Linked DNA regions of Caenorhabditis elegans. The protein of the gene in region 1 interacts with the protein of each later gene in a pairwise test. Each region holds a gene or a part of one and is shown on either strand. Other genes may lie near its edges. The genes, in order: mig-5, dsh-1, lin-36 and abl-1.

Region 1 (6,679 bases):
AATATGAAGTTAAATTTTTCCATTCCAGAATTTACAGGAAATCTAATTAAATAGTTTGAATGGAAACAGAAAGAAACGTTCCACAAACCTTGATCAAGAGTCTGTAGACATTATTGAGGTGCGCATATTACAAAAAGATTTATTGAATGATAGATATAAGAGGGATAAGTGTTAATGACCGGCTCATCTACAAACAATTAAAGGATGAGAGAAAGTGTTTGTGATGAGAAAGGCAAACTTGCCATGACGGACCGGAAATACTTTTTGTCTATTGGACTGATGATGACTTTTTGGATATTAGAGGAACTTCAAAGGTGAAGGTTTTTTTCAGTAAATGTTTTGGTCACTTGCTACATTTCCAAAACTGTGCATTTTCTGAGTAATTCGCATCACATTTAAGTAAACATTTAAGAGTTAATGAAATTTCAAATTATGAGGAAATCATAGTAGGAAGCAGAACATTTTCCGTAAATCACTGATGGCAAGCTAATCAGTCAGCTTTCCCCCCACTATTCCTTCGAACCGTATTTCCGTCTTCCACCACCCACCTTTGTTAGCTCAACCGACCCCTGCAAACATGTCAATTTCGGATACGGAACGCCATCAACATTACACAATTTCTGTGTGTCCGGTGCTCCAAACTGGTGCACTTTTAGTGTAAAATCTGGTACAGAGCCGCGGAAACAAAACAAAAACTTAACAACACATTTTATAATAAAATTAATTTTTTCGCTCCCGGTCGGAGATGCTGTGCCCACACCTTTTTGCATTTAAAAACAATGTTTCGTGTCGAGACCAGGTACCGTGTTTTTGGCACAAAAAGCGCAAAATTTTCGGGTCTAATTGTAAGTAATATTTTGAATTGGCACTAAACACTTCGCCTTCAGAGCGTGTTCTAATTACACGCACTGTTAAAAAAATTTATACCAGATTCTAATATATATATCAAATTTAGAAAACAAATGTTTATCGCATAACTTTAATTATTTCATTCATTCCTTGTTTCAAAATGACAGGTTAGTTTTCTTTGTCACATTATGCAACATCATTTGAAATTTTAGACACTTCTACAACTTCTTCTGTAGCAAAGCGGCAAATTGAATCAAAAAACGCTCAGCTTTTGAGACAATTGATTGAAAAGAAAAATAAGAAACTCAAAAAGAAAGTCTATTCAAATGCCGAAGAACAAGAAATTGATTTAATTATTCAAAAATCATTTGATTCAATAATTGGTAAAACTCCATATTCTCCATTCAAAATGTCTGATTGGATGAGCAAGATGATCCAAACAATTTCGGATAATTTAGTGAAGCTCAATGGAAGCAAAAAGTTTTTGGTTCATTGTACTATTTCTGCAAAAACCGATAATCTTGCAATTTGCACGGCCAACATGTGCTCCTGGGATACTACGAAGGATACTGCATACTACTCGGAATGGATGTCTAAAACTATCTTCGGTGCTGTCCAAGTCTTCTTCATCACACATCGTTTTTCGAAGTGAACATCGTCATGAAGAAATTTAAAATAATTCATAAATAGACTCAAAATTACATGAATGAATGAAAACGTTAGTCTTACTGAAATACATGAAAACAGGGCATAGTTTTAAATATTAATAAAGCATGTGGGAATTAAGGCGAGAATCGGTAAAGGCAATGAGTTTTAAATTTTAAGTCCGTAAAATACGCGTTCTGCTGTTGCTACTGTTCTCCCCGTCGAAATCGTGGTTGACTGCGTTCTGCGACTGAATCGGAGAAGCTGCTAGAACCATAGTACTGGATAGAGGAGTCGGCGGAGGGCCTCCTAAGCCACCACTTCCTGGAATTTGTAACTAATTTGGTTGGGGAAATACTGTTATGTGAAAAGTCATTTGGATACAAAGGGTACAGTAGTCAAGAAACAGCAAATACTATATCAATTGAAATGAATATTTGCTTCAAATTTAACTCCTGCACCCTATAGAAACGATTAATTTTCTCACCGTTTGTCAAGCTTGAGGATGTCACTTGAGAAGGTGCCGGTACCTGACGGTGATTATTTTTCGTCCCAAAAACATGATAATTTCCGACTGGATTCATTCCAATTTGGCTTTCTCCGACCATCGATGCGTAATCATTTGTCATAGGACTCTCACAATCTCGACGTCTTCGAAGCCATGTTTGGTCATGAGCAACTGGGCTTAGAGTAGTGGTTTCTAATCGATGAGGAATATTTCTTCCAACTCGTGCTGCCAGAGCATGTGGTGCTGGTGAGCCAACATACGTCACTTCAGTAGTTGCTTCAACTCGCATTGTAGTTCCACTCGTACCAGTGGTGTCCGTGGAATTACGATCATTGCCAAGAATTCCATCACCGAATACATAGTAGCACTTTTCTGTGAATGTCAACTTGCTGACGACATGTCTGATAAGACCAGCAGCTAACAATCTCGCAGCATAGATTCTAGCTTTCTTCCGATTATGAATATCAGCCATGTGATCAACGAGCCAATCGACTAGATCTCGGCCTAAACGTTGATTGTTTGGATCCTAATACTTGAATGTTCAGTACTCACCAATAAAAGACATTGGAACCAAAATTTTCAGCCATTTTCGATTTTTGACAGCTAATCCTGAATCCGGACGAGCCATAGAACGAACAACAATAATGGGATCAATCATTTCTGTGAGTTGCTCTATTTTTTCATTTTGCTCATTTTCTCGTTTTCTTTCTGCTTCTTCAATCAAAGCTCTTGGAATTCCATTTCTACGTTGATCGTAAAGCATTCGCTCCTCATCATCAGAAGCTGTCGATGTAAATGGAAGAGTTCCGTCATCAATTGTAGTTGCCGTTTGCTCCTGTGGATCCAAACCCAGAGCTTTCATTTTTTCAGTGTTCTGCCTGTAAGTATCAAATTAAGAAAATAAATCTTGCGAGGTACCCTTACACAGCGGTTTCTACCCAAACTCCAACGTCGAGGGGCATCGTTTCAGACGCCATGGACGCGAGTGGATCATCATATTCACTTGGGGCACCTCTTGCAAACTTACTGATATAAAGAGTAATTGGTCTAAAAATTAAAAAAAATTAATGCTAATGCGTAGAAAAATACCTTTTGGAGGATGCAGCTTCTCTGAGCGAACGAACTGCTTGAGGCCCACTGAGTTCTTCAAAGGATACTCTATTAACTTGAAGAATCTGATCACCAACGTTCACACGTCCATCTTTTTCAACGGCACCTTCTGGTGCAATTTCGGAAACGAATATATGACCATCAATTGTGCACACGCTCAGTCCCAGATATGGAACATTTTTCATTGGTAGATAAATTTCCAGAATTCGAGGGAGGCCGCTGTTAACACTTGATTCCGTCGCTGAGCTAATAGTACTTGGAACATACGGTCTTCTGAATCTTTCTTTCTTTTGTTTTTTCCTTCTTCTATCGTCATCGTATATCTTATTCATATCACGAGCAGCGAGAGGTTCGTAGAGCGAAGAATCATCTCCTGTTCGACGTGTATGCTCGTCATATTGATACGGATCCTCTGAATTTGAAGTGTATAATTCTGCCAGATGCTCTCCTGCTCTTCCTGAAAAACGTTCATACAGGTTTTTAAGAGTACATAAATAGCAAAAACTCACTGCTAACAATGGTGCTCGGAGCAAGACTAGCATCAGAGTACGGAGTCGCGTCAAAGTCTGCACTTCGTCGGCGGCGCTTAAAATATCAGTTTTTTTTGAAAATAACAGAAATCGAACCTTATCTAGAGCAGTTCTCTGTGGTCGCGTCATTGTTCCACTGTTTCGAGGAAGAGTTCCATATCCTGGAGTGCTAACGAGAAAAATCTCATAAAATCCATTCTGGGATTTGCGCAGCCGATCCGAATCAGTTGTTAATTCGACTTTAACTTCTCTGAACATTTTTCAGTACAGAATAATTACAAAAATTAAAAAAGCCAAAACTCACCGTTGAATATCCGGGTCAAGTTCCTTCGCATAATACTTATATCCACGCTTGGTGAATGAATTTTTGAAATTTCCAAGCGTCGCTACTCCTTCTCTGGCTTCAATAACAGAAACATAGGGAGTCGTTTCATCGTCGAGATAGTAGAAGACCTGGAAGAAAATTATTTCTGTTTAATCACTGGCTTAATAAAAAACAATTCTGATCAAAATTCTTACTTTTATCTGGCTGCAGTCTGATGTGCATGGCGGCTCCATAAATGTTAGAAATCTGAATTCAATATTTTAAATTATAGACCAATAAAATATTTATAAAAATTACAAGAGGAAACAAAAAAAACAAATTTGTTTGCAAAGGACTAGCGGAAACAATTTTATTTTTAATTTATCGGCAATAAATCGCGGGTGGGAACAATGTTGCAAATACGCCCTAGTGACAGCTGGTGTTGGGTCTCGGCACGATTACCCTTCTAGCATGCATGAAGTACGATGCGCTCTGAGAATATTCTACAAGAATTTTAATTTTGATTCAGAATTCAAGGGATCCCCGATTTTCTGGAAGCATTTTTATTTTTACTGAAATATTTTCATTTTTACGTATATTTTTATTTTTGAGTGCTTATTCAAAGCCCCTTTTTGACTCAATATCGAATGTCCTACTCTATTGCTAAGTTAATACGGTTGTGTTTCAGGTAATGGCATCAGCTGGAGATTCCATTCTTGCCCTCACCGGTAAAAGAACTACTGGACAAGGCATCAGATCTCAGAATGGTAACACCGAAAGCTCAATATAAGTATACATTAATTAATTGCAGTCACCGCGGCAGTTGCGATCGCCAATATTGTGAAGTCATCTCTTGGCCCTGTCGGACTTGATAAAATGCTTGTCGATGATGTTGGAGATGTCATTGTCACAAATGACGGAGCCACAATTCTGAAACAACTCGAGGTTGAGCATCCGGCTGGAAAAGTGCTTGTAGAACTTGCACAGCTGCAAGACGAGGAGGTCGGAGATGGAACTACTTCTGTCGTTATTGTGGCGGCTGAGCTCTTGAAGAGAGCCGATGAGCTTGTGAAACAAAAAGTTCATCCGACGACTATTATCAATGGTTACCGTCTCGCGTGCAAGGAAGCCGTCAAGTACATTAGTGAAAACATCTCATTCACTTCCGACTCGATTGGTAGACAATCAGTTGTCAACGCTGCCAAAACTTCCATGAGCAGTAAGATTATCGGACCGTGAGTTTGGTGTTGTCTATGCTTCAAGAAAATTGATTTTTCAGAGACGCCGATTTCTTCGGAGAGCTGGTTGTTGATGCCGCGGAAGCTGTTCGTGTGGAAAATAACGGGAAAGTCACTTATCCTATCAATGCAGTCAATGTTCTGAAGGCCCACGGAAAGAGCGCTCGCGAATCAGTTTTGGTGAAAGGATATGCACTCAATTGCACAGTTGCCAGTCAGGCCATGCCACTTCGTGTTCAAAATGCCAAGATCGCATGTCTCGATTTCTCTTTGATGAAGGCTAAGATGCACCTCGGTATTTCAGTCGTTGTTGAAGATCCAGCCAAGCTTGAGGCTATTCGCAGAGAGTGAGTTGAAACTATTCGTTTCTTTTTAAGCTATGGAATTTTCAGAGAATTCGATATTACCAAACGCCGCATTGATAAAATTTTGAAAGCCGGAGCCAACGTTGTTCTTACAACTGGAGGTATCGATGATTTGTGCTTGAAGCAATTTGTCGAATCTGGAGCTATGGCTGTTCGTCGATGCAAGAAATCAGACTTGAAGAGAATTGCCAAAGCTACTGGAGCCACATTGACTGTTTCCTTGGCTACTTTGGAAGGAGATGAAGCTTTCGATGCCTCGCTTCTTGGACATGCCGATGAAATTGTTCAAGAAAGAATTAGTGACGACGAGCTCATTCTCATCAAGGGACCGAAATCTCGTACTGCCAGCAGCATTATCCTCCGTGGAGCGAACGATGTGATGCTCGATGAAATGGAGAGATCGGTTCACGACTCACTCTGTGTTGTTCGTAGAGTTCTGGAAAGCAAGAAACTTGTGGCTGGAGGAGGTGCTGTTGAGACTTCTCTCAGTCTTTTCCTTGAAACTTATGCACAAACCTTGTCTTCTCGCGAGCAGCTTGCTGTTGCTGAATTCGCTTCAGCGCTTCTCATCATTCCGAAGGTTTTGGCAAGCAATGCTGCAAGAGATTCTACTGATTTAGTGACAAAACTCCGCGCGTACCACTCCAAAGCTCAATTGATCCCACAACTTCAACACCTCAAGTGGTAAGTGAAAATGTTTTTTTTAAAGAGTAGGTTATTACATGTTAGCTTAATGTAATAAAATTAAAATAATTTATTTCAAAAAATTTCGTTTTGTGCTTAGAAAAAGCGTCTAATTCATGTTTTCTGAATTTGAGTCAGTTTATTCACTCTTTTTTTAGGGCTGGTTTGGATCTCGAAGAAGGCACGATCCGCGATAACAAGGAGGCTGGAATTTTGGAGCCAGCTCTTAGTAAGGTCAAGTCTCTGAAGTTCGCCACTGAGGCAGCCATTACGATATTGCGTATTGATGACCTCATCAAACTTGACAAGCAAGAGCCACTTGGAGGAGATGATTGCCACGCTTAAATTTTCCCGTTTACCCCGTTTATATATCCCTGTTTTCCGCGTGCTTCTCACATAATTCCGATCTGCTGCTCCTTATCCCAAATTCTCATGTTCAGCTTTTG
Region 2 (9,400 bases), 3.0 Mb from region 1:
TCATCTTGTTGGCTGGCTGCCAGTCAACCAACCAACACACATTTCAATGAGTGGAGATCTCCTCCTTCTTTGCTTTCATTCAATGTTTATACATACATTTCATTTCATTTCAATTTAATCACACACACACACATACATATCGATGATTTCCCCAGTGTGATTACGTGGAATTAAAATCACATAATTGTGGTTATTACCTGGTAGCTGGGTGTATAAATCAATTGAAATTCTCCCTTTTGTGTACAACTTCTTTTCAAAGTATTTTAGTTCATTGTGTTTTTCTGAAAATTTAATCTGAGGAGCATATTCTCAAATTCTATAAAATTCGTATTTTATAATCTGTTTTAATTTTCCTCCAAATTAGAAATTCATCCAAACTCTCTTTTGTTGAAAATTAAAAAAAAAGTATTTTGTTACTTTTGAAACAAATAGATTATTATTTTCAGGATATCTAGTTGCATTGAAAGGCTACCCAGCTGTTTTATTTCAAAAATTTTTGTTCTGAAATATCTGACAATGACATCTGAAAATGGTAAATTGCGAACAAGTCACAGCTAGTTTAGTTTAGCTTCGACATTAGAGAATAAAAAATTATTAACCAGATACCAAAAATATCTCTTTGCGACCTTAAGAACTGTAGTGTACGGTAGAATTTGTAAGCATTGTTAATTGGAAAAATATGTTCTTTGACATCCAATTCTCGATCTTTTGTAACATTAGTCCTTGAACTTCTCTGTTAGGGGGTCAACCGGGCTCCTTGCTTGCTCCACCACTTTTTGTGAGAAACCGTTCTCTATATCTCTGTGCTCGACGTCAGTGGGAATGAAAACCCGAAGACCGATGAGTTTATCACAGTGTTTATCAAGATGCTTTCCTTCTGTCTCTCTCTCCACTTGAACACTCTTCTCGAGACCTCATACCACTTCACCCCACTTTTAGTTAGTTTTTTTTGTCCGCTCACTTGTCGATTTCTGTGTATGTTTCTACTTGTCACTATTATCGTTTTTGTGTCGAAATAGTCTCTAGTACCCACCCCAGGATCTCATAATATTGCTCTCATTCTCGTTAACACGAAAATAGATATCTGCCTTATAATAGTGAGATCTGTGGTTTTATTTACTTTCGGATATCCCTCACTTGTGATTTCTATCATGATACCTATCGGGATTTTGGGGAGAAAAGACAGTTTGATAATGATCTTTTCTATGCTTTATCCGCTTTTCCTGCCTCCGATCAATGTTTGCTAGCCCATGTGTGTAGGTGGATTCAAACATTTGATTTTATACTTCGTCATCATCAAGAGCCATTGCAACATGTTTCAGTGAGATCAATTTGCAACTCTTTGTTCAACTAGTCATGATGAAAAATTTTCGATCAATATTCTTTAAGCAACTGCCATTTAATCTGACCATAGCAAATTGTGTTTTCCTCTGGATCTCTGCGGTGTTTGACTGTGAGCCATAAGTCAAGTTGCAATTTGTTGATATAAATAACTGATAGTGAGCTCTTGGTTTTAGTTGTCATGTGCCATTTTCCAGCCCACCAGTTGAAGAAATTTGTTAGTTGAGAAATGGTAACACTTATTCTGAAGCTCTTTTGCGAAACGGGGAAAATCTTATTAATTGATAGCCACATAGTTTCGACCGAAACGTATTGAACTATAATTTTAATTTTATTAGATGTATCAGTGAATGTTAACGATTAATTAAATAAAAGTTAAATGAAAGCAAACATTTGTCTTTCAAAATAACATCGAGATTTAAGCGTATAAAAACTTGAGTTTTTTTTAAATTTTTCTACTGTTATGGCTTGAATCTTAACAAACTCATAGACCAATTATATTATATTAAAATTATAATATCTCAATCTTTGCATTTCTCATTATATAGGAATTTATCAATTTTAGATGTCACTATCATAGTCGAGTCAATTGAGATTTAACATGACATATGTCAAGTCCGATTAAAGTTTAACGACAGTGTTTATGGTGTCAACAGGATTATTTTGAGTACCAACTTTCCCGATGTGTCGACTATTAAATTCTCAGTTTCTCTCTAAATTCCCAGCACATGATAAAAGTAAAACGAAAGTATCTGTTTCTAATCCAAGTGCATCATGAGCCACAAGATGGGATGCTGGGAAATTTATGACCCCCCATCGAGGTGTGTTTCTCGTTTCTTTCTCTTCTTTTTATTACCTTCAAGCTTTTTTATTACTTCCCAGCTCTATTACTATCAAAAACTTAAAACCGATTTTCTAGAGAACGACACGATTGCTCATAGCTCACTAGCGAGCAATGAGTATCAAGCTTGGAGCTCGAGATAGAGCCCTTCCATCTCCTTCTGGCTCCTCAAATACCCCATCCACTTCATCTGATATGATTCGCTCATTATTATTCACTTCAAAAGAACGAAAAGTCCGTTCGACATACACGGCTCCTCCACCAAATCGACAACACTCGCCGGGAGTTGTATCACAATTGATTAACAAGATTGAGTTGAAAACGTCACCTACAAATACATCGTCAAGACCAAAAAAGAAGAAAAAGGCTCCACCACTTGCTAAGATTGATGATCTTGATTTGGTTGATGATGAGAAAACTATCGTCTCGGAAGTTGTAAAAAGTCCAAGAAGGAAGAAATATACAGGAAATCCATTAGGAAATTTGAAAATTCTGAACAACATTCTCCCTTCCTCCAAAGCTTCTGATGATAAGGAAAATTCAGGAAGCCAGCAGCAACCAAGTACGGGGAAAAAGTTGAAGAAGAGCAGAAGTAAAAGTCGTGTGGAGCCGGAGTCTGAGGCACCATTTCGATTAAAACGGACTTTAACTGATCTCACAAATAATCATACACCTGCCGGATCCACATGGCGACAGATGGTCTCAAATGCGCTCGGTGGTCCACTTAAAAAACGGCTCAGCGAGGGGGCTCTCCTGTTTCCCGGCACCAGCAAAGCATCAGATGATTGTAACGACGAAGAGGGGGATAATACTAAGACGACAACGAAGCGCAGATTTTTACAACGACGGAAACAAAGCGAAAAAAGTGCAGGAGGCGCCAACGGAAAAGAGTCCGGTGGTGGTTCCGCCTCTTCATCGTTTTTTGGAGCTCTTATCAGATTGTCCCACTCGGCTGCAAGTTTAACGTCTTTAACTTCACTTGGTGGTTCAAAATCTCGGTCTGCATCTCCATCACCATCAAGTTCTCGATCTAATACTAAAGAATTCAAAGAGAATCTGAGCCCACCTCAGCCACCACCACCGGATCTCATTGCACCAGCTGCAGCATTAGCCAGACCAACTTTTTCCCTTGCGGCTCCTGATTCCCCTGTTTCACTTGCTCCGCCATCTAGGGAGCTCAGAAAATCCAAAACGTGTCAAATAACCACCGATCGTCCACCTATTATTCCTAGTATTACTATATCTGAAAGTCGAAGTTTGAACCGAATCGATAGGTGTCGGCCGGTCACTGTAGATGGAAGTGGTCTATCATCTGATTGCCGACCTCTTGTTTCACGAAGAAGCACAATGAGCCGTACAATGTCACTGATTCCAACTAGTCCATCGCTTCCGCCACTTTATGAGGAAGAAACAGCAAGTACAGCGGCAATGGTGGAAGAGGAGAGAGCGGATCGAGCACAGAAGCGCAGAATGCGAAGGTACGGCGGATCAAATACAACAAGTACTTATCAAGGAAGGAAAGATGTTGCACCGGATGCTTCGCCGAGAAGACATCTTATTGGATTTCTACATAGGACGTCACATCTATCCTTAACCTCTGAACTTAGTGCAGATGCATCGTTTTATTTGATCGGTAGGTAAATGATGGCGAAAAATGATGTGATCAAGTAAAGGGTAATAGGTTCAAAAAACAAAATCTTATGAAAATTTGAAAAAGCATCGAATTCTAAGTTTTCTTAAATTCCAGGGCACCGACGACATCTCGAAGAATCAACAATTGGCTCCGAATCCGATGCAAGAGTATTTTCAGATGATGATGATAGGTATGTTTTTTTTTTTAATTTTATAAACATAGGTTTCATTTCATTGAATTTTTATGTAAAGCCAGTACTCTGGTGACAGTGTTCCTTTCAAAATTTAGTGTATTTTATTCGGCAAATTTTTATTTATAAAAAATTAAAGCAAAAGTTTAAGTTATAATAGGGCTACATTCAGGTCTTGCAGGGCTATCTCAAGGAATATGCAACATTGAAAAAAATTTACATTCAAAATATAACAACTCATAAAAACAAAACCAAGTTTACGAATAGGCAATACCCCTTTGAAATTTTAAATTTTAAATATTTTCAAAAATTCGATGGTTTTCATTTTGCCTCTCAAATAGTTAATACCTTTTTTTGTGTCTTCTCTGTCTGTCACATAAAGTGACAAATGACTAGGCTTAAAGCGGGCCTTCATCCCCGCTCACTCTGCCCCCAATGATTTCGCCCTTCCGCTCCTCAAATAGTGAAATGAGCGGCTACATAACTGACGATGATTTCGCAAGCTCTGATGGTAAAGCCTATTATTCAACAACTTCCACTTCAACTTCTGATTATTACTATGCAATTGGAACAGCTCCGCCGAGCAGCACGGGTGCCACAACTCGCGACGTGTCAGTTCATTTATTCTGCGATAAGACACAGCTCGTTAAATTTGAGCAATTCCTGCTTGGCGCTTATCTTCTAGCTAAAGCCTGGTAGTGACTATCACAACAAGCTCTTAGTGTTGTGCACTATTTGAAGGAAACTAATAAAAATTGGGGAGGGGAAGAAAAGGACGTGAGAACGGGTGGAAAGAGATGGATGAGAAGTGGATAATTGCTTTCGATAAATCTTTCAGTTCTTTTCGGATTTTGTGGAACAAACTTCTAGGTTGTAACTTTAAGGAATTTGAACATTTTGTTTTGTGCAGTGCTCCGCTTATATTTAGAATTTCACGGAACACAATTCTCATTAGTTTTCCTTTTTTAGCTAGTGAAAACCATGTAAAATTTTAGTTGATAACGTTCAAAGTTACTCACGAGTTGCAAAAATCACTGAAAACCACAGTAAGATTTTCAAAAAATTATGAAATTTTTATTTACAGTCCAAAATGGAAATTAACCAGTTTTCGCTTATCATAAATTAATAATTCGATTTTAAAAAATTTCTACAGTTTTTTTTTAAATTTTAAAATCATTTGTATTTATTTTGTGGGGCATCGAATATGCAAAGCTTCTTTAAGTTTCTCAATAAGACTCAATTTTCAAAAGTTGGACTGAAAATTCTGAAAAATCTATAACAATTTCAACTATAAAACGTTCAATTTTTCAGAGGCTCTACAACAACCGATTTCACATCAGTATCCCGACAACATGAAAAAATGGCAAAGAAAAAGAAGAATAAAAGAAATTTCCGAAAACCCTCTAGAGCATCTTCGTTTTCAAGTATCACAGGTATGACCTCTTCGAAATTAGCATAACTTTTACCATTCGAATTCCAGAGTCCTCTATGAGCCTTGATGTAATAACAGTGAACCTCAATATGGATACAGTCAATTTCCTTGGCATTTCAATTGTTGGTCAAACTTCTAATTGTGGTGATAATGGAATCTACGTAGCAAATATCATGAAGGGAGGTGCAGTGGCATTGGATGGAAGAATTGAAGCTGGTGATATGATTTTACAAGTCAATGAGACCAGCTTTGAGAATTTCACTAACGATCAAGCTGTTGATGTGTTACGGTAAAAATTATTATTTTTTACTGAGAGCTTATTCTTCAACATATGAATTTTCAGAGAAGCTGTTAGCCGTCGTGGCCCCATCAAATTAACTGTGGCGAAAAGTTTTGAAAATGGGCAAAGTTGTTTCACAATACCAAGGAATAGCAGAGAAGAGCCTGTGAGACCAATCGATACTCAAGCATGGATCCAGCATACGAATGCAATGAGAGGAATGCCAAGTATAGTTGAAGGTATGGTTTTTTGATTGGAAGTGTAGAAAAACTAAACAAAATACCTGCCTGTTATTTGATTGATCTTTTTATTTTTTGCAAAATTATAAGCTGCACTCTCAACCTATTCAACTTCAGGCTGAAATTTATTCAGTGCATTTCTTCGCTACTTTCAAGTTGATGTTTTTCAGACTTCTGATGTTTTAGGATATTTTAAAGTAGAACAACATTTGGAAAGCTTTTTGGAATTTTCAATTTTTTTTTGAAACAAAAATAAAAATATGAAATTTTTCACATCTCTAATTTTGAAGGCTGAATGTAAAATTAAGTCAAACCTTTTTTCTGCACCAAAATTTTGAAAACAGGTAGGCAGGCAGGAAGACAGCCTCGATGTTGTTTTTTGTTCTTCTTCTACGTTATTCTCCTACAAATATCTATTAATTAAAAAATTTTTTCCAGAAAGTGCACCGACACCAATTCCTGGTGAATGGCCTCATGGTCGACCGCCAAGCAGCTCAACGGTGACCTCAAACGGATCAAATGGTCAAAATACAGTAGTCGGCGGCGGAGCTCATATTATTCTTGATATACACACTGACAAAAAGAAGGTTGTCGAAATAATGGCTATGCCTGGCTCTGGTCTTGATATCAAAAATCGAACATGGCTCAAAATTCCGATTCCCATGTCGTTCTTGGGTAAGTTTTGAATGAACGTGTAGAGCCTATTCTAATTCTCAATTTTAGGATCTGATCTGGTCGAATGGCTTTTGGATCATGTTGAAGGGCTTCGAGAACGGAAGACAGCACGAAACTTTGCGGCGGATTTACTGAAATTAAAGTATATTGCACATGTGGTGAACAAGGTCACATTCACTGAGCAGTGCTATTATGTCCTTGGAGATGAGTGTTCAGGTAGGAAAGTATACATTTATTCGGAAAATGTCAAAGTTTTTGTATATGAAGATGGAAGTGGGTCTTTTGAAATCTTTAATGCAATTTTTTTGAACTGAAATGTTAAAAATTTGTTTTAAAAAATTATTTTTTTCAAATTATATTTTTAAAACAAATTTTTCACTGATGCACAAAAATGTCTGCCTGTAATCTCCATAGGAATGCAAAAAAGTTGGTTGCATTCAAGGCTGCCCTGCCTGATTCAAAACATGAAATTCAACCCTTCTTGTTATATCTTCTAAATTACTTCCAGACTATGCCCGATTCCGAAATGAAGATGGTGGACCCAAATACCAATGGACCATCGGAATGAACGGAATGTCTGCTGGCAACGGAAGCTCTGTGATGCTCCCACCCCCACATTTACCTGGAGGTATGGCTGGCCCTCCTGGAGCTTTTAAAGGGATGGCTCCGTCAATGGTAAGCGACGGCGAATCGCGCATGTATGTAATGCACATTTAGAATGTCATCATTTTTCTTCATGTTTATGTTTCATTATGTCTGGTAATCAATGCCAAAATGGCATAATTCAAAATAGTTTCTCTCACAGTACACCATGTACCCGGTATTACAATAAGTTCTAATTTAATATTTTGTAACTTCTAAGTCTCCAATCATGAATCAAAATTTCATATGTTCCCGGTGATTGTAATTTTGGATGTTTTTCCTTTATTTGATTATTCTATTTTTGAATCTGTCCGTCGATTTTTTGTTGCATTTCCTTCTCAAATTCACACGAATTGCGATCTTCTTCACGAGTTCCCCACATCCTTGTCTGAAATAGATGCACCCTATACTAAGAAAAAAAACGTCTTGTTTTCTATTGCATTTGCCCTAAAATTATTGTTTATATTCGATATCATTGTTATTTTCTCGCCCCCTCATTTCTCAGTAGCATGTAAATGTATCAGTCCAATGTTGCCACCCACAAGAATGACAGAATAATAAATAATATTCTGAATCAAAAGAATGTTGTTATATTTCACACCACACGAACATTGCAAAGTGAGAAATATATTATTTGAAAAATATATAAACAGGTAAGTGGATATGCATCAATGCCGGCTTCACCATTCCCACCAGCTCAATTGCAGCAACAGAGAAGAGAAGGAAGTACAACCAGTGGAAGTAGTGGCGGTGGAATTAGAAAACAGTGAGTTTTTCCACTATAAACATACAAAGAAATTTTTGTATTTTGTAAAGATATATAGCTTTTTTAAACATTTTCAAGAAAAAAATAAAATTCAAAACCACACCAAAAGAACTTGTTTCTTAAGTTGGAAAAAAGTGAAAAGTGTGAGGCACTGGAAATTTAAAAACTTTCGTCTGAATTTCTCTGACTTCAAAAGTTCCAATTTTATATAACACGGTAGACTCTAACATTTTTGACATAGTTTTTCGAAATAACTCCCAATATAATTTTAAAATATTTCAGACGAGTTGTTGTTCTTCCCAGAAAACCATCATCGTCTGCAAATGTTCCATTTGATGATAGTTCTACAATCTATGAAGAATCAAATAATTCATTTCTTATGGCAACTGGACAAAGATACGAGTATTAACTGTTAATATTAATTCAATGTTTTGGTGCTTACTTTTTGAGCTGTATAAAAACTGTTATTTATTCAAGATTTTTGCTTATCCGCCGCCTTCTTAATTCTTGTCGCGAAGGCGGTTCAGTGGAATGCTTATTTATAAACTTCATTTATTAACAATACTTTATTTATATATTATCATTAGCAAATGGAGTTCACTTGAGTAAATTCAAAACTGATGTTTCTTCCACAATTTCCTCCTTATATAGACATCGGATATGACTTTTCACGTAAAGGTAGCAAAGGTTGTTCCACGGTGTTATTGGCAGTTCAATTGCATCCTTTTGATCCTAGAGTTCCTGTGTGAAAGGGTTTCCTTTGTTGTTGTAGACGTTTGGCCATGTTGGAGTTGCTTGCAGGGTGGTTCCTTAAGACGTGTCGCCGCTCGGTGGAGTGAGTCGAGTGCCATAAGCCGGTGATATAGTCCTTTTATATTCTAAACAGAAGTTAGTCGAGAATAGGAGAGGTTCATTCTGTCCGTATTTGCGACAAGTCTTACTAAACCCCATGGAAGGCTACGCGTAAAATTATAATCCTGTACAATTAAAAAAAAACTTCAGTAACAATAATTTATTGTATTCATGACATAAGTCTATGGACGGTTTTGCTTCTGCCTTTTCAGAACTTCAAGAGTTGAAATTTTGACAACATCTGGGTTGTCTCTGTGCAGTTTCCATTCAAATCGACATAGTGGGCACGCCTTCGATGCAGACGTATCAAACCATTTTTTCACACATCTGGAAACTGCCTAATTATAACATCTTCAATATCTCATATTAACTCACTTTTTACAGCCAATGACTTTGAGGCATTTAGGACATCCTCTCGGATCAACGGGCTTCTCAAAGCAAATGGTGCATTCCGAAGTTTGTAGAGCACTTCCTCGGTGACGTTGATATGGTGCAAATGAAGTTGATGC
Region 3 (7,998 bases), on another chromosome or scaffold:
TGTACTGAGTTTTGATGCTTCATAAAGTAGAAAAAGTATGCGAGATTGGTTTTATTCAAAAAAAACTCTTGTAGTAGTAGTGATATGGATGGCATGTTGGTTGTTTTGTTGGCAATAGAGAAATTGGCAGAACGACGGAAGAGGGTTTAGAGGCCATTTTTACACTGTTTTGAGCCCGCCTGAGTGAGCATTAAACACTGAATAGTGTGTAAGATGAAGATACGCAGAGTTGCACACGGACTTGATCAGTGAAATCGGGGGAGGAGAAGGAAGGGATCCGAGAGATTTTAGACTTGAGAAGTGAAGATAGGTTTTTGGAAAATTGACACCTGGAAATTTAAGATTCATGCATGAACATTTACGCGAGCTACAATTTATTGTAACTTGATTAAACCATGAAACAATTTTTTTACAAATGCTTCCCTAGAGAGGCCGGATATTAAAAGTACAGATGGCAGAAAACTTTCATTTGTGTGAGTACGGTAGTCTGATTGTTTGTTATTGAGTTTAAGAATTTTTCACTATTTGTTTTTTAATGTGTTTCTTGTCTTTGGGGGTTTAAGTCGACTCCCAATAAGAAGTTATACCGTAATCGCTTTTATGAAGAGATGTCTAATGACTTGTCATCTTTGAAATCTTTTGCTCGTGCTAAGTATTGTATTCAGACGAATAATACATTATAATTTTCGAAAAATGTAATCACTTCACAAGCCAGGGCAAGAATTGCGCTTCTGTATGAGCTGTCACCAGATTATGATTTTTAATTGTGTACGGAAGAAAAATTGAGAGCATCTTAAGAGGAAGATGCATCTTCTGAAATAATTTTTCTAAATAAAAATCAGAATTATTTTTCAGCATTCCACCCAGATTACGTGTCTGTTATAATCGTTTCTGGAAGACATTCTATTAGATACCGTACCCCGAAAACTAGAAATCCTATTTCTAGTTTTCGGGGTACGGTATCTAATAGAATATGAGTACCTGAGTAAACATCACTTACTATACGCATATGTTTGCTCAAGCTTCTACTATACCTGAACCTAGAGAAAACTGTCTTCCGTTCGATTTAATTTGGCAACGAAATGTTCCAAGCTTATGATGTTCCCGTTGTAATTAATTAATTCCCCTGCTTTAAATCACTTATTGTTAACGAATATGTACTTCTCAAACTCCTGGTGTTATCTCCGTGGTATTTTGGATAAATTGGTGTCAATCATTTATACAAATGACCTGTCTCCATATTGATATCATCAATTCAACGTCCCTCCAGTTCCAAGTCGCTTGTTCGGCGAGAGAGCGTAGCAAACGGAGAGACGTCATAGAAAAAGTACGCAACCGCGCGTGGCGGTGTTTGCGTACATCAGATGAGTGGGAGCCAGAATTGTACAAAAATTGGCCGGACAATTATCGATTTTTACACTTTCGACTCATTTTTCACTTATTATCAATGTTTTTCGTTATTATTTGTATCTCTTGAGCGTTTTAAACAATTAAATTCACTGTATTTTCTGTTTTTGTGCTCAAAATGTGTAGAATTTGCAAAAGAAAGGCTTTTCCAAAAATATTTGATTGCAGGAAATGTCGGAAGAATTGCTGAGTACTAGACCCAGTAAAAGGGATTATAATGATATTGAAGAACCAGAAGACTCACACGTGACGGTGCACTCAGTTGAACAGGTATGGTGATAATTGAGAAACATTCTCGCCGCTTATGAATATCAATGCATTTTTAGGATTCACAGCATTCTGGTGAAGAATCCTCAACTGTAGACGCATTGCAGGAAACTGAGGGTGATGTTGACGTAATAGGAGAAGATGAGGACGAACACGATGTACGTTTACATTTTCATTCTCGTATTAATGCATGTGCCCATTGGCCGGAATAGAATACATCATTTTATTTTCAGATTCCCGTAATGCCAACTGTCACATCAAGTGGTGAAGTTCTTGATGAAAGCCAAGTCACTCCAACTAAACAAGCTTCGTCGTCACAACCAAGAGAAGAAATTATCCACGGCAAAGGCGAAAGTGTCTACTCCAGTTTTCCGTGCCAAGTTATTCCGGAGACTTTAAGCCGAATGACACGAACTCCGCCAGATGGAGAGCATTTAGAAGTGTACCGGATGTCAAATGGGAGACTGAGAATATATGTTGTTGATCATTTCAAGAAGTTTTCTCCATACTCCAATTTGACTCATAAGCCATGTACAGTTTGTAATCGAGTAATGAAATCGGGAGAGATGCATCTAAACTTCCCAGCAGACTTGGATAGGCGCAGAATTTGGGCAAATTTGCTTGGATTCAAATACAAAGATATTCTTCGCAGTAAAATGGGTCCTGTATCGTTTTCAATTGCTGCCGGTCCAATTTGTACTGAGCACTTCGCCGAGGAGTGCTTCAGGAATCACAATTTCAACAAATCTGCCATCGAAGCTTTTGGAGTTCCTGTTGCTATTTCACCAGACGTTAAGACGACACCGAGTAAAAAAAGGTAAGAAGAAAAGCTGGTTCTGCTCGAAACGAAAAAGCTTGTGAATGAATATGTTAGCTCGATTTTTGGCTAAAACATCCTCTTTCACGATTTTATAAAAGTTCCAGAGTGCCATGGGTCTGTACCGTATGTGAGTTCCACTCGTGCAGTGTTGTCGAGCTTCAGACACATCTTCTCAATCACACGGAGGAAATGCTCAAGAAAAAAGATAATGTTTTGGATGTAAGTTCAAGCTTTTTAGTTAATACTCTTATTTTATCACATAATTCTTATAACAAAAATTAATATTTTTCACAGGTCCCAGAAGCTGGCTTCATGTGCCCATTCTGTAGAAAATGCACATATGGTTACAAGACAATATCTGGATATCGTCGTCACTTGAATGCTGGCCCCATTCATCATTGTCATCTTCGTAGAATATATGAATTCGCTAAAATGAACTGCCGCGCTACTGAGTTGGATCCAGCGGAAAGCTGGGATAACTGGACTCGTCGCAACGTTTATGTGGCATATCACGGCTGTGAACCACCAGCAAATGAAATCGTACTCACACCTTCACCAACGAAAAAAGCCTACGTGCAAAATCCAGAAGAGCGTACGAAAATGGTTCACGATGAAGAGAAGAGAAAGAAGGCAGTGAGGACATTATCGTTTGTTGGAAAAGAAGGTGGTACAAGTGTGAATGATCTGAACGTAATGCAGCGACAAGTGTTTCTGCAATTGAGAAGAGAAGCAGAGATTAATACAAAAGCAGAAGAATCGGCTCAAGGAACGAAGGAGCAAGAGAGCAGTCAGAAAAAACATGCAGAAGAAGAGTCAGACGATGTTTCTGAACTGTAAGTTTTGTCAAAAAATGTTCGAGTTAGAGAACATCCTGCGTAACGAAATTTAAAAAATCTTACTAAATGGAAATCAAAGAAGCAATTAAATTTTTTAGAACTTCCCATCAGTCTCCACAAGCTCCAATGGGATCTGGTGAACGACGTAAAGCAACACGTCTCGCAACTTCCGCTACAAATTCACCAATCAAGAAGGTGGCAAAACACGAAGTTCCTGCTACAGCTCCATCAACTCCAGCTAAGAAACGGAAAATTTCACACGAAGAAGAACACGATCCAACTCCTGAAAGTGTAGAGAGAGAACCAACAGTTTCACCAAATGATCCACGTGAACGTCTTCGTTTGAAGGAACGAGATGAACAATTTGCCAAAATGGTTCAGAAAAGATCTCAGCAAGTTAAGCGATTGATCAATGCCAAACAATTCAAGAAACAAGAAGCAGCAACGAAGAAGCCGAGAAAGGCCTTGGCTTATAATTTGGCCAAAGGGATCGCTGCTACTTCTTCGGTGAGTTTTATTTACTGAATTTATTAAATAATAGATTAGAACTTAATTTGTAACTTTTGAAATTCCTCTTTTACTTTGTAGCATGTTGAAATTCGAATTACTAGGATAATGTTTTTTATTCAGACGGAGCCAGAAGACAAAGTGACATCTTCGGAGCAGACACCAGAACCGACAACAAGTCAAAAATTTATCGCCAGAAATACACGATCGAAAACTAAGGAGAGTGCTGTTCAAAAAGTTGAAAAACCAGCAACTCCTGTCGCAAAACCGGCACCAGTAGAAAAAGAGCCGGAAGAACGCCCTCTAAAATCAATGCTCGCGAGATCTTTTGTTGCTGGAGTTCGTCCTTCGATGGCTAAATATCAGATTCCATTAGAATCGTTCACAGCTACTGCATCACTTGGTGGAGGACGTTCATTATCTTCTGGAGTCATATCAAGACCACCAACTTCATCCTCTCCTGGCGGGATCTTTTCTCAAAGAGTTATGGGAGCTGTTGCACAAGAAAAAGGGCCTGCTAAGAGACCGGTAAGTTTAATATATTAGAATTATTTATTAGGAGACTTTGATATTTTTTCTAATTTATTGCTTCAGAGTGTGCTCTCCCGAAGACCACTGATCCTTTCACCACGAAAAAAAACATCAACTCCACGACCAACACTCTCCCATCACGAGTCATCGCCAAACTTCTCAGCATCTTCTCCGGTGGTTGTTTCTGATGAGTATCTGATTCCAGCAACGGATATGGAAGTTGAAATGGTCGAAGAAGTCATTGATTCTATGGGAAACTCATCGTCTGAAGATGTTGCCACTTCTTCAACATCTTCCGAGAGGCAACCGATGCTTACGCTGGCAGAGGCTCTTGAGATGGATGGTTCAAGTGGAACAGTTAAAGATCAAGATATGGAAGAAATCTCAAAAGAAATGATGAAAGATGCTCATTACTACAGAGCAATGGAAGACGCTATCAAATGTCGCACCGTGACGAAAATGCGCGCTGACATGAGACTTTCCCGTCATTGCATCCGGCAAATTGAAGCTGCGAGAGCCAGGTGAGCCCATGGGAGGTCTACTTTGATAAATCGTTTAATTTTTTGCAGAGCTCGTCTGTTTGGCGAAAGGACTGAAGATTATCAAATTTTCTACTCTAACGATGGAGCACAAGTGGTATGTTTTTATTAGTTTCAATTCTGAATTTTAGTAACAATTTTCGTTTTTTAAAAGATTTTATTTATGTTGTTCTCAATTTGAAACCATTTGCTTTGAAAAAATTCCGATTGAAACATCAAAAATCACTGATCACAACACAATTTATTTTAAAAACATGTTTTCTCCGCTATTTGGCGTTATCAATCAGTTTGTTTCATTCTTATGATTTTCAGCTCACCAAAAAAGATCCAAAATGGCGTGAACTTCAACAACAACAACAACAACAACAACAGCAGCAAGAACAATTTCCAGGACAAGGATCATCGGATTCTCAACAATAATTATTTTTAATTATCAAAGAAAGTGCCTCAAAATTCAAGATTCAAAAGTCAATTGTCCTTTCGAGGATCGCCCCACATTTCTTTCATGTGAACTATCTCTGTTTTATATCCACAGAAGTTATCCCATTTTACTTTCATTCGAAATTCTTGAAATCTGATAAAAACTCCGACTAGGATAGATTTTCGTCTAGATTTTTAGGATTTTCACATTTACTTTTTTCCCATTTTTTACCCCCCCTCCCCCCTATAATTTACTTTCCAAAATTAATAGTTTGTTTTACTTTCCATAAGCCCCCGCCCCCTCCCCAAAAACCACACTTTTTCTATCATAAATTAATCTGAATTATTCACAAAAAATGAGCCAAAGTCTATTTAAACGTTTCCCTAGTTTTCAATTACATTCAAGTTTGAAAGATATGTGCGTTTGTGTGCCAAATATGACTAAAAGTCAATAAATAAATGATTTTGCTTGGTAGGTTTTTGAAAAGAGTTTTCAGATTATTTTTTCTATAGGCTACCTGATTATCCATAACATTATATTTTGAAAAAACCATGAAAAATTTAAAAAAATCCTAAAATTTAGAATGGCATCACCAGAAGCATCGTCTTCTGGAAATACAGAAGATCTTCGTATCGAAGATTTATTCCATCAAAAACGAAATGAAGATACGATTGCTAAAATATTTTCGATTATTTATGCTCCAGTTGGTGAGATTTTTTTCAAATTTTTTGACACATTCCAAAAAGTAAAAGTTTTAAAAAATCAAAATTTCAGGTTTAATTATTCTTTTAATTCGTGTTTTCCTCGGTTTCCACACATTTATTGTTGCATGTCTACTCAGAAAATCTGCTGCTTTGAGAATGCACACTCTTCGAATTATGTGCTCAATTCTCGGAATTGTCGTTGAAAAATCTGGTCACAGGTTTGTGATTTTTTTTTTGAAAAATATTTGATATCTCCAAAAAAATAGAAACAAGTTACTGAAAAATTGGAAGCTTGCCGTATTGCCCAGGCGCAAATTTTTTTGCGACTTCTGTCCCAAAAGTGAGGTACCTGGTCTCGAAATGACAATTTTTTTGTTAAATACAAAAACATGTGCGCCTTTAAAGAGTACGGTAGCTTTAAAATTTCGTTACTGTGGATTCATTGATTTTTCATAGTTTTTCTTACGATTTTTGTTAAAATCAATGTGTTTTAAGTGTTATTTTAGTTTTAAAAATTTATTTTAACGAAAAAACTTTGAAAAATTGATTTCAAAAATTCCGCAGCAACAAAAGTTCCATATATCCATTTATATTTTACAAAAAAAAAGTTTTTCAAGACCCGGGTGCTGTACTTTTTTTGCAAAATGAAATTCGGTAATTTTTAGTGTATCTAAAAAAAATTAAAAAAAAAAGGTCACTAACTATTCCTTAAAATGTTTTTTGCTTGCCGAGATATTCACAACTTCTTAGTATTAAAAAAAAAAGATTTTCAGAGATGAATCAGCTCGAGTTTTGTGCGCCAATCATGTATCAATTCTTGATCATTTAGCAGTTGATATTCTTACTCCATGCCTTCTTCCATCTGTTTGGGATATTCCATCGATTATTAGATGGTGTTTTGGATATGTAGATTTGGGAGCAACACGTGGAAGAGATCAACTTGTCAGTAGAGCCAAACAACTACTCACCAGAGAACAAATGCCACTTCTCGCATTTCCAGAAGGAATTATTACTAGTGGAGAAAAGGCATTGATCAAGTTTAAGTATGTCATTTGAACTTTCCAAATATTTTGTGATTTCGATTTCAAGATTTTTCAGCTAAAAATATGGTTTGTCACTACAAATTTGTGAAAAAAAATCTAAAAATCTTTTTACGCATTTTCATCAATTTTTCATAGTTTTTTTCATAAAATATAAAATTCACATTTTTAATGAAAAACTATGCAAAATCGATGAAAATTCAGCATAAATTAGGATTTTAAATTACAGTACTCTTTAAAGGCGCACACTTTTTGTCGGATAAAGAATTGTCATGTCAAGACCGGGTACCGTAGTTTTGGCGCAAAAATCATGAATCTCGAACCCAAATCTACTAAATTTTCAGTACTTGGTGTTTCGAGGTGTCTTCAGTAGTTCAACCCGTCTCAGTGCGTGTGTGGCGTCCGTATCCTTGGAAAGTTTCAGTTTCAGTATTGGGTTCTTCATGGTGGACTGATCTTTTCTATTTCTTTGCACTTCCGTTTACTGTTATCACTGTCGAATATCTTCCGAAAATGGAAAGACGAGAGAATGTAAAGAAAAATTGGAATTTCCAAATAAAAACAATTATTTCTAGGAATCACTCGAAGAATTCACCGCCCGAGTTGCCGAAACGTTGGCTGGAAATTTGAAGATTGCAGTGTCAAAGTTTGGAATTTCGGACGCAACAGAAGCAGCAAAACGGCTTAGAACAGATAGAGAACGTGCGAAAAAAGTTGTCGTTAGAGAGAAGGTATTTGTTTCCAATAATTTGTTTTCTTTAAAAAATGAAAATTTTCAAGACTTCACCTAGACTTGCGGATCCTCGTCAAATGGACGAATGTGCAATGAGAATCAAACAATCATTTCCATCATTCCATTTATCTGCAATTCGACGTGATTTGGAGAAAACTCGTAGTCAAACTACAACTGTTAATAATTTGAAAGC
Region 4 (6,423 bases), on another chromosome or scaffold:
AAAAACGAGAAGGGAGGTAGGTTATGACTGAATATTTTTGACAGGAATATTATAAATGCTTTAGGTACGTAAGTTTTAAAAACTAGAATCAACTGAATATACCTTTTTTTACAGCATAATTTTTTTTCATTCATCGCCGAAAAAAACTTTTAGCCATTAGAGTAGCAACTAAGCTTTGAGGATAGGTGTTAACTGGAATAAAATTTCCTATTTTTCAAATTAGAATTTTCAACCTTCAAAACTTAATTTTGTATTCAGTAAAACTTCATGTGTTACCTGTCCCCTCAAAACTCAAAAACTTGATTGTATTGAAATATGCAGCTACAGGGTGGGCCATAATTATGCGCACTCGTATTTTTCTTTTTTTTTCATTTGTTTTGGAGGTTTTTCACTATTTGAAACAGTAATTTGATTTGTGATTAATTATTTCGAAGAGTTAAAATGTGATTTTAATGTGTTATCAAATATGGATATATTGTAAGTAACCAGTAGGATTCTTCGGATGATTTTTCAAAAATACATATTTGATATATACCGTATTTCTTCTATTAATATGGCCTCCCTATTAGACTTGCACTCCCTATTAGTATTGCTCCTTGAACACCCTCCGAAAATTAGTATTGCACTCCCTATTAGTGTTGCACTCCCTAATAGTATTGCGTCTACTTTTTTTTTGGTACAGACCCACCTCACTAATTTTGAGATTTTAACAACATTTTTTGCCTACTTTGCAACAATTTGTGGTAAAATTTTTATGAAATTGAAGTTATTGTACCTTTTTGTTGCAATTACAATCAAATTTTCACTTTCACACAAGGTTCGAGTTTTTTCAGAAAAAAAATCAGAAAGCTCAAAGTCAGAAAAATTTTCTGAAAATTAATATTGCACTCCCTAATAGTCTTGCACTCCCTATTAGTATTGCAAGCGGGAAGACCATCGAACAATAGTATTGCAGTCATATTAATAGAAGAAATACGGTATACAATTTTCAAAACTTCGAAACGAGGTTTATATTAGGTCTCCAAATAAGTTCCGGGTCAAAAATCATAACTTTGTTCGCTGTGTATCGATTTTTATGAAACTTTGGGAATTTATGTTATCAACCATGTTCTTTCATTTGACAATAGTCGCAAAAATTTTTGTACACCTCAAGTGTCCTAACTCGGAGCCAATTTTTCCAGGAATTTTTCCTATCTCGCTTCTTTTAACCTTTGAATTGAGGTTTGTGTGCGGATTTTGCTTTGCTTAAAATACATTATTAGAAAACGACAAAAGTTTAGAAAAAAATCCGTCCAAAAAATTTTTTTTAAATATATAATAATCGTTTTAGTTTGAAATTTGAATCTCGAGAAATATTCAAAAAACTCAAAAATTATCCGAAAAAATTATATTTTCTATTAACATTTTGGTGTATCGAAATAAATTGATATGTTTTGTATGTGTAAAAATAGTTCACGCTTGTTTACATCATTTTTGTAGGGAAAATCTAGAACTTTCGACAAAATTTTTTTTGAACATTTTTTGACGACCAACCAAAAAAAAATTTTTTGGACGGATTTTTTTCTAAAATTTTGTCGTTTTCTAATAATGTATTTTAAGCAAGGCGAAATCCGCACACAAACCTCAATTCAAAGGTCTTCTTTTAGAAGCGAGATAGGAAAAATGCCTGAAAAAATTGGCTCCGAGTTAGGACACTTGGGGTGGACAAAAAATTTTGTGACTGATGTCAAATGAAAGATCATTGTTGATAACATGAATTCCCAAAGTTTCATAAAAATCGATACACAGAGAACAAAGTTATGATTTTTGACCCGGAACTTATTTGGAGACCTAATAGATTTTTCACTTAAAAAATACATGTAAGAACTGTGATTTGATAAGCAAACACATACACAAATCCGGAACCGGAAGATTTTAAAATTAGTATTCTCTTTTCTATTTCATAAAACTTTTATAGTTTTGTGTTTAATCACGTTATGAAAAAGATCAATGATCTGAACTTCGTCAAATCTGATTTAGGATATATTTTGGTTGTTCAGCTCGGTTTGTCTGATGTAAATTATTTTTGAAAATTCTACTGAAACACCTAACTGATTTTATTTTTTCAGATAACAAAAAAAGCAGAGACAATGCCGTTTCTTCGAGAGTAACACAAAATTAGCAAAACTATTCAATATTGTCACATGCCGTGTCAATGTCTAGGGAATTGTAAAAATGGGTGTGGACTTGCGAACGTTTATATTCATTGTATACGCGTCGCACCAAATCCATCATAAAAATTGGATAGAAAGAATGAAGAACAGGAGGTTGGGTGTCCCCCGTGGTTCTCAGTCCCACACAGAAAGGAAAATGTGCCAGAGCACATTTTCTAATTGGTCAACGAGAAGAAGGGCGATTCGTCGTACTACTAACACAAGTCCAGCTGCTTCTCTGACCCAGGGAGAAAAAAGATGGGGGGAAATGGTAAATCTAGTTAAAACTGGAGTGAAGTGAATAAAATGCGAATAGTCAATAGGGGTCGAGCATTTATAACTGCGAATATGGCATTGAAACCTATTGAATTGGAATAACAAGTTGGAGAAGCGACGTTTTGCCGGGAGGCGGCAAAGCGGGAAAGGGGAGAGGAACTGGATTTATTCCATTTTTTTCTATTCTTCCAAACTTCCTTTCCCAAATAAATTATGCCTAAACCTTTTAAAAGTGTATAATTTTATAAATATTGTAGTTTGTAAAAAATTATGATCTAATTATTCTAGATGAGTAGAGAAGATACACTTGATTGGATAGTCTCCCATATTTGGATCACGCATGCGTTGTCCTCAAACTAGGGACCGGGAGTTGACGGACGAGGGAAGGGAGATGTGACCTCTTGGTTTGTCTGCGTCCCGTCTTCCACTCATGCTCTCTTTCAATCCACCATACCAGCTATTACTATCTCTACTCTCGTTTTCTTCCGCGTCTCGTTTACTTGTGACTTTAGAAGAGGATCTCTCACCCTCCCCACACCCTCTCCGGCATATATCTACAGCGAACGGGAATACGAAGGGAACCGAACACTTGGAGGATTAGAGAACCTAACCGCATAAAGCATTAAGAGCGGTTCTGAATCTGTCATCTACACTCGAAGGGCCTTATTGTGGGCAGACAATTTCGAATGAGATTGTGACAATTCATCGAAAAGTAGAAGGAACGTTAAAAACAATACATAAAACTTAACATACTGTTTTTCATGTTTTAACATGAACTTTTTTTTTTTGAGAAACTGAGAAATTACAAAATATTAGTTTTATAATACTTTACGTATAATTTATTTTACAATTTCGCCTTATTTTCTTTCAAAACTGAGAGCAGCTTCCTTTTTTTGAAAAATAGAAAAACAAAAGCTGATACTTCAGAAACAATCGTAAACTTTATCAGTACTTTTTTAATGAGTTTCAAACAATAATCATTTTTTTAGGAAAACTTTTGAATCAACAAATATTCATTAGTTTCGTCAAGTTAATATTTTTCAAGGCTGAATTTTTCCAAATGGTATGAAATTATACCATTCAATTTTTTTTTTGAAATCCAATGCCAAACTCAAATGTTGAAATTATATTTGTTTTTAGTTGAAAAGTAATTTTCACAATTTTCAAGCGCAAAATGCTTACCACATGTGAAGAGTTCATTGTCATTGATTTCTTTCCCAGTACTATGTGAATGACCCCTGAAAAACATTTTCTTCTTTATTAGTATATGTTGTTCGTAAAATTAAAATAAACAAAATACCATGGCCTTATAGTTTTTGAGAAGAATTATGAAATGAACTGAACTCACATTTTTGTTAAGTCCTACATGGGAGAATGTTTTGATGTTTTCAAAGTTAGAAAAGCCTGAAAATTATGAAGTTTGGCTTGAATTAAAAAAAAGAAATAAAAAGAAAAAATCGAAGAAGACAAAAAAAAAAGAACATGGAGGAAAAAAGAAAGGACGCGCAATTGGTGTGAAGGTATGTGTCGAGTACCCGGCTGCCCTCTCTTTTCTCATAACCCATCCAGTGACCAGCAGAGCGCGCTTGCATACTTCTCACTCGTTGTTCACTGCTTATTACTGCGCACTTGGTTCAACACTAACGCCTATTCGCTAGTCAAACAATAACAACAGTTCCTGTCAGATAAATAGTACTAAGCTAGAGGAGATTGGAAACGCGGAGTAGAGACTACAAATACTTTGAACTGATTGAACTTATATGCATACGAAATGAATGGATAATGTTTAAACTGGATATAATTAGTTTTTAGTTGTTTTACAAAATTGTGGTGATTTAATAATTAAAAAAAAGTTATGCTATTCGGATATTTGTGTATTCGCAAAAACCATAGTTTTAAACCAATTAACAAATTGTCAATTACAAATCTAAAATCTAACAATTATTGACAAGACCATACATATTAATAAACAAAAAAGTTTTGCATTGTAAAACCAATCAAAACTTGTCGCCGTTCCTTTTTCGCTATGTTTTATACAAATCTGCGATACGAATTCGTATCGGTTGAAAGTGTGGGGATGAAGTGTGAAATGAAACAAAAAGTGTGATCACAAAGAATGGGACGAGAGGCCAGGAGGTACTCAAAACCCCCGCCAATTTTGTCCCATAAAAATTGGAGCGACGAAAGAGTATGGGAATGCAGTTTGAAATAGAAAAGTTGAACAATAGGTAGTATTCAGATTGACGCATTTTTTAAATGGAAATCAAAACTAAAAGAATCAAAATTTTGAAGAAACAGTACGGTATGCCTCTGAGGGTTGGTTGAGTGAATTCTAACTCATTAGAAAATTGCTGTCCTACTATTTTGAAAACAATAAAAGGGCTCCTTAGACTAAAATATGCTGAAAAGTACCTATCAAGTTTTAAATAAGTTTAAAAATTTTTGGAGATTTGCATTGTTTCACGGACTATATAATTGTACATGAAGCACTAATTTTAAATTGTGTGTTTAAGAATAATTTGTTAATTGAGAACAAATTCCATACTTGAAACACTCAATAAGAACGCACTCTAATGCATACAATAATTCTTTAAAAAAACTCCCAAGTTTTAATAATTGCTGACGAAGATGTTTTGGAAAACGTGATCTCCAAGTAATGAATGCTTGGCAATTACAAATAACTTTTTGAAATCAAAAGATTATATGTGGTTGTATTTCTCCATAAAAAAGTGGAATTGTGTGTAGGGTTTTCAAAAGATGAAAATAGGTTTGTTGTTATAACATGCATATGTAATATGACTATGAAACTGTGCTATTTTGCTAGTGTTAGTGATTTTGATGGTGACAAAGTGTTCTATTTTCGATAATTTTTTTTATTTTTCGTCTTTTCTCCTCGTTTAATTGTTGGAAATTACACATTTACATATTAAGTCTACTAAAATTCTTTCACATTTACATATTAAGTCTACTAAAATTTCTCCCATCCTATTTTTATTTAAACCAGTCGTTAAAAAAAATAGCTAAAATAAATCCAAATACGAAAAAAAGTTGAAAGTAAACTTTTGTAGAGTTTTTTGCGTGTCGAAGAACTTTGAAAATAGTAAAGTTTTGTGAAATGCGCAGAACAAAAACTGAAACTAAATGGGAACACACAAAAACACAAGAGAAGACGAACATCGACAAAAAAGTTGGTAGTAGCTGCTGGTTGGCGAGGAGAGGATAATATCCCGAACACGCCAATAGAATGAAGAGGGACAAAAAAGAACACAACAAGATGTCGATGCAAAGGACGAATTATTCCTTTTTTCCTTCCATTTTTGCCATTGCGTTCATTCGAAACAACTTCTGGAAAGGAGATTCCTAACAAAGTCAGGATTGAAAAGAACGACGTAGTACATATCTAGTGAATTTATTGGTTTTTTAAAATTGCATACACATATACCTTAATTTTTTTTATTATAAAACCCAAAAACGTCGCCTCTCATTTAAATTCTGTTTTCCAGTTACAATGTTTTTTTTAATTGAAAAAGAGTGAAATTACCGATATTTTAATTTTTGAAAACTTTTTGAAAGTTTTTATTTAAAATTAATTTTTGAGACGCACATCTGTGTGTTATTTTTTCTATTTTTGTATAGTTCATTTTCATCAGTATTTTTTTGTGTAGGGCCGAATAGCAAAACGCAGTTTTTTTCGAGTTGATAAAAAATATTTTCGAAAAGTATTTTAAAGTTTTTATTATGAAGACACGTTTTGGTTGTTGTTTTAATTTTCAATATGATTTAATAACAAAAATTACAATGTACAAATTCAGTTCATAGCCGGTATCACATTTTCCTCACACTGGTTCTCCGAAACAGATTCGAAATCGTCGATGCTCAAATTATCACTGCTTCCTCCTCCACCAGATATCCCACTATCACTATTATTTCTGCTTCCAGAAATATCATGCTGAGT

What was found.
Region 2: the proteins of mig-5 (region 1) and dsh-1 interact in a two-hybrid assay, tested with the Caenorhabditis elegans proteins (3 studies listed by BioGRID).
Region 3: the proteins of mig-5 (region 1) and lin-36 interact in a two-hybrid assay, tested with the Caenorhabditis elegans proteins (3 studies listed by BioGRID).
Region 4: the proteins of mig-5 (region 1) and abl-1 interact in binary tests that used the Caenorhabditis elegans proteins (3 or more experiments, as listed by UniProt).

The regions. Positions count from the first base shown.
Region 1 is NC_003280.10:8,180,809-8,187,487, forward strand, and holds mig-5 (Segment polarity protein dishevelled homolog mig-5), read right to left. Parts: upstream 4,216-6,679; 5' UTR 4,201-4,215; coding exon 4,162-4,200; intron 4,096-4,161; coding exon 3,947-4,095; intron 3,893-3,946; coding exon 3,739-3,892; intron 3,698-3,738; coding exon 3,622-3,697; intron 3,570-3,621; coding exon 3,092-3,569; intron 3,050-3,091; coding exon 2,927-3,049; intron 2,881-2,926; coding exon 2,555-2,880; intron 2,507-2,554; coding exon 1,982-2,506; intron 1,832-1,981; coding exon of another isoform or gene 1,819-1,831; coding exon 1,670-1,818; 3' UTR 1,515-1,669; downstream 1-1,514. Other genes in the region: dylt-3 (DYnein Light chain (Tctex type)), read left to right, coding at 1,010-1,016, 1,062-1,501; cct-1 (T-complex protein 1 subunit alpha), read left to right, coding at 4,638-4,713, 4,758-5,181, 5,226-5,531, 5,577-6,233, 6,392-6,578. UniProt on the Caenorhabditis elegans protein: Plays a role in the signal transduction pathways mediated by multiple Wnt genes. Functions redundantly with other dishevelled family members throughout development.
Region 2 is NC_003280.10:5,213,571-5,222,970, reverse strand, and holds dsh-1 (DiSHevelled related), read left to right. Parts: upstream 1-2,296; coding exon 2,297-3,815; intron 3,816-3,929; coding exon 3,930-4,005; intron 4,006-4,303; exon of another isoform or gene 4,304-4,507; intron 4,508-5,316; coding exon 5,317-5,438; intron 5,439-5,485; coding exon 5,486-5,726; intron 5,727-5,780; coding exon 5,781-5,956; intron 5,957-6,394; coding exon 6,395-6,631; intron 6,632-6,679; coding exon 6,680-6,847; intron 6,848-7,139; coding exon 7,140-7,306; coding exon of another isoform or gene 7,307-7,348; exon of another isoform or gene 7,349-7,851; intron 7,852-7,926; coding exon 7,927-8,039; intron 8,040-8,321; coding exon 8,322-8,448; downstream 8,449-9,400. Other genes in the region: C34F11.1 (RING-type domain-containing protein), read right to left, coding at 9,074-9,218, 9,267-9,400.
Region 3 is NC_003281.10:8,014,451-8,022,448, reverse strand, and holds lin-36 (Protein lin-36), read left to right. Parts: upstream 1-1,575; 5' UTR 1,576-1,578; coding exon 1,579-1,677; intron 1,678-1,733; coding exon 1,734-1,832; intron 1,833-1,907; coding exon 1,908-2,491; intron 2,492-2,592; coding exon 2,593-2,713; intron 2,714-2,788; coding exon 2,789-3,327; intron 3,328-3,428; coding exon 3,429-3,837; intron 3,838-3,960; coding exon 3,961-4,365; intron 4,366-4,431; coding exon 4,432-4,889; intron 4,890-4,937; coding exon 4,938-5,004; intron 5,005-5,219; coding exon 5,220-5,327; 3' UTR 5,328-5,801; downstream 5,802-7,998. Other genes in the region: F44B9.5 (Lipid droplet-regulating VLDL assembly factor AUP1 homolog), read left to right, coding at 5,912-6,035, 6,103-6,250, 6,806-7,075, 7,417-7,603, 7,648-7,803, 7,853-7,998. UniProt on the Caenorhabditis elegans protein: Required to negatively regulate vulval development. Antagonizes Ras-mediated vulval induction. Acts cell autonomously.
Region 4 is NC_003284.9:10,620,329-10,626,751, forward strand, and holds the start of abl-1 (Tyrosine-protein kinase abl-1), read right to left. Parts: upstream 3,862-6,423; 5' UTR 3,819-3,861; coding exon 3,817-3,818; intron 3,707-3,816; coding exon 3,651-3,706; intron 2,380-3,650; exon of another isoform or gene 2,255-2,379; intron 1-2,254. Other genes in the region: M79.2 (Phospholipid/glycerol acyltransferase domain-containing protein), read right to left, coding at 6,277-6,423. UniProt on the Caenorhabditis elegans protein: Functions downstream of migratory protein mig-13 and is involved in Q neuroblast migration during larval development.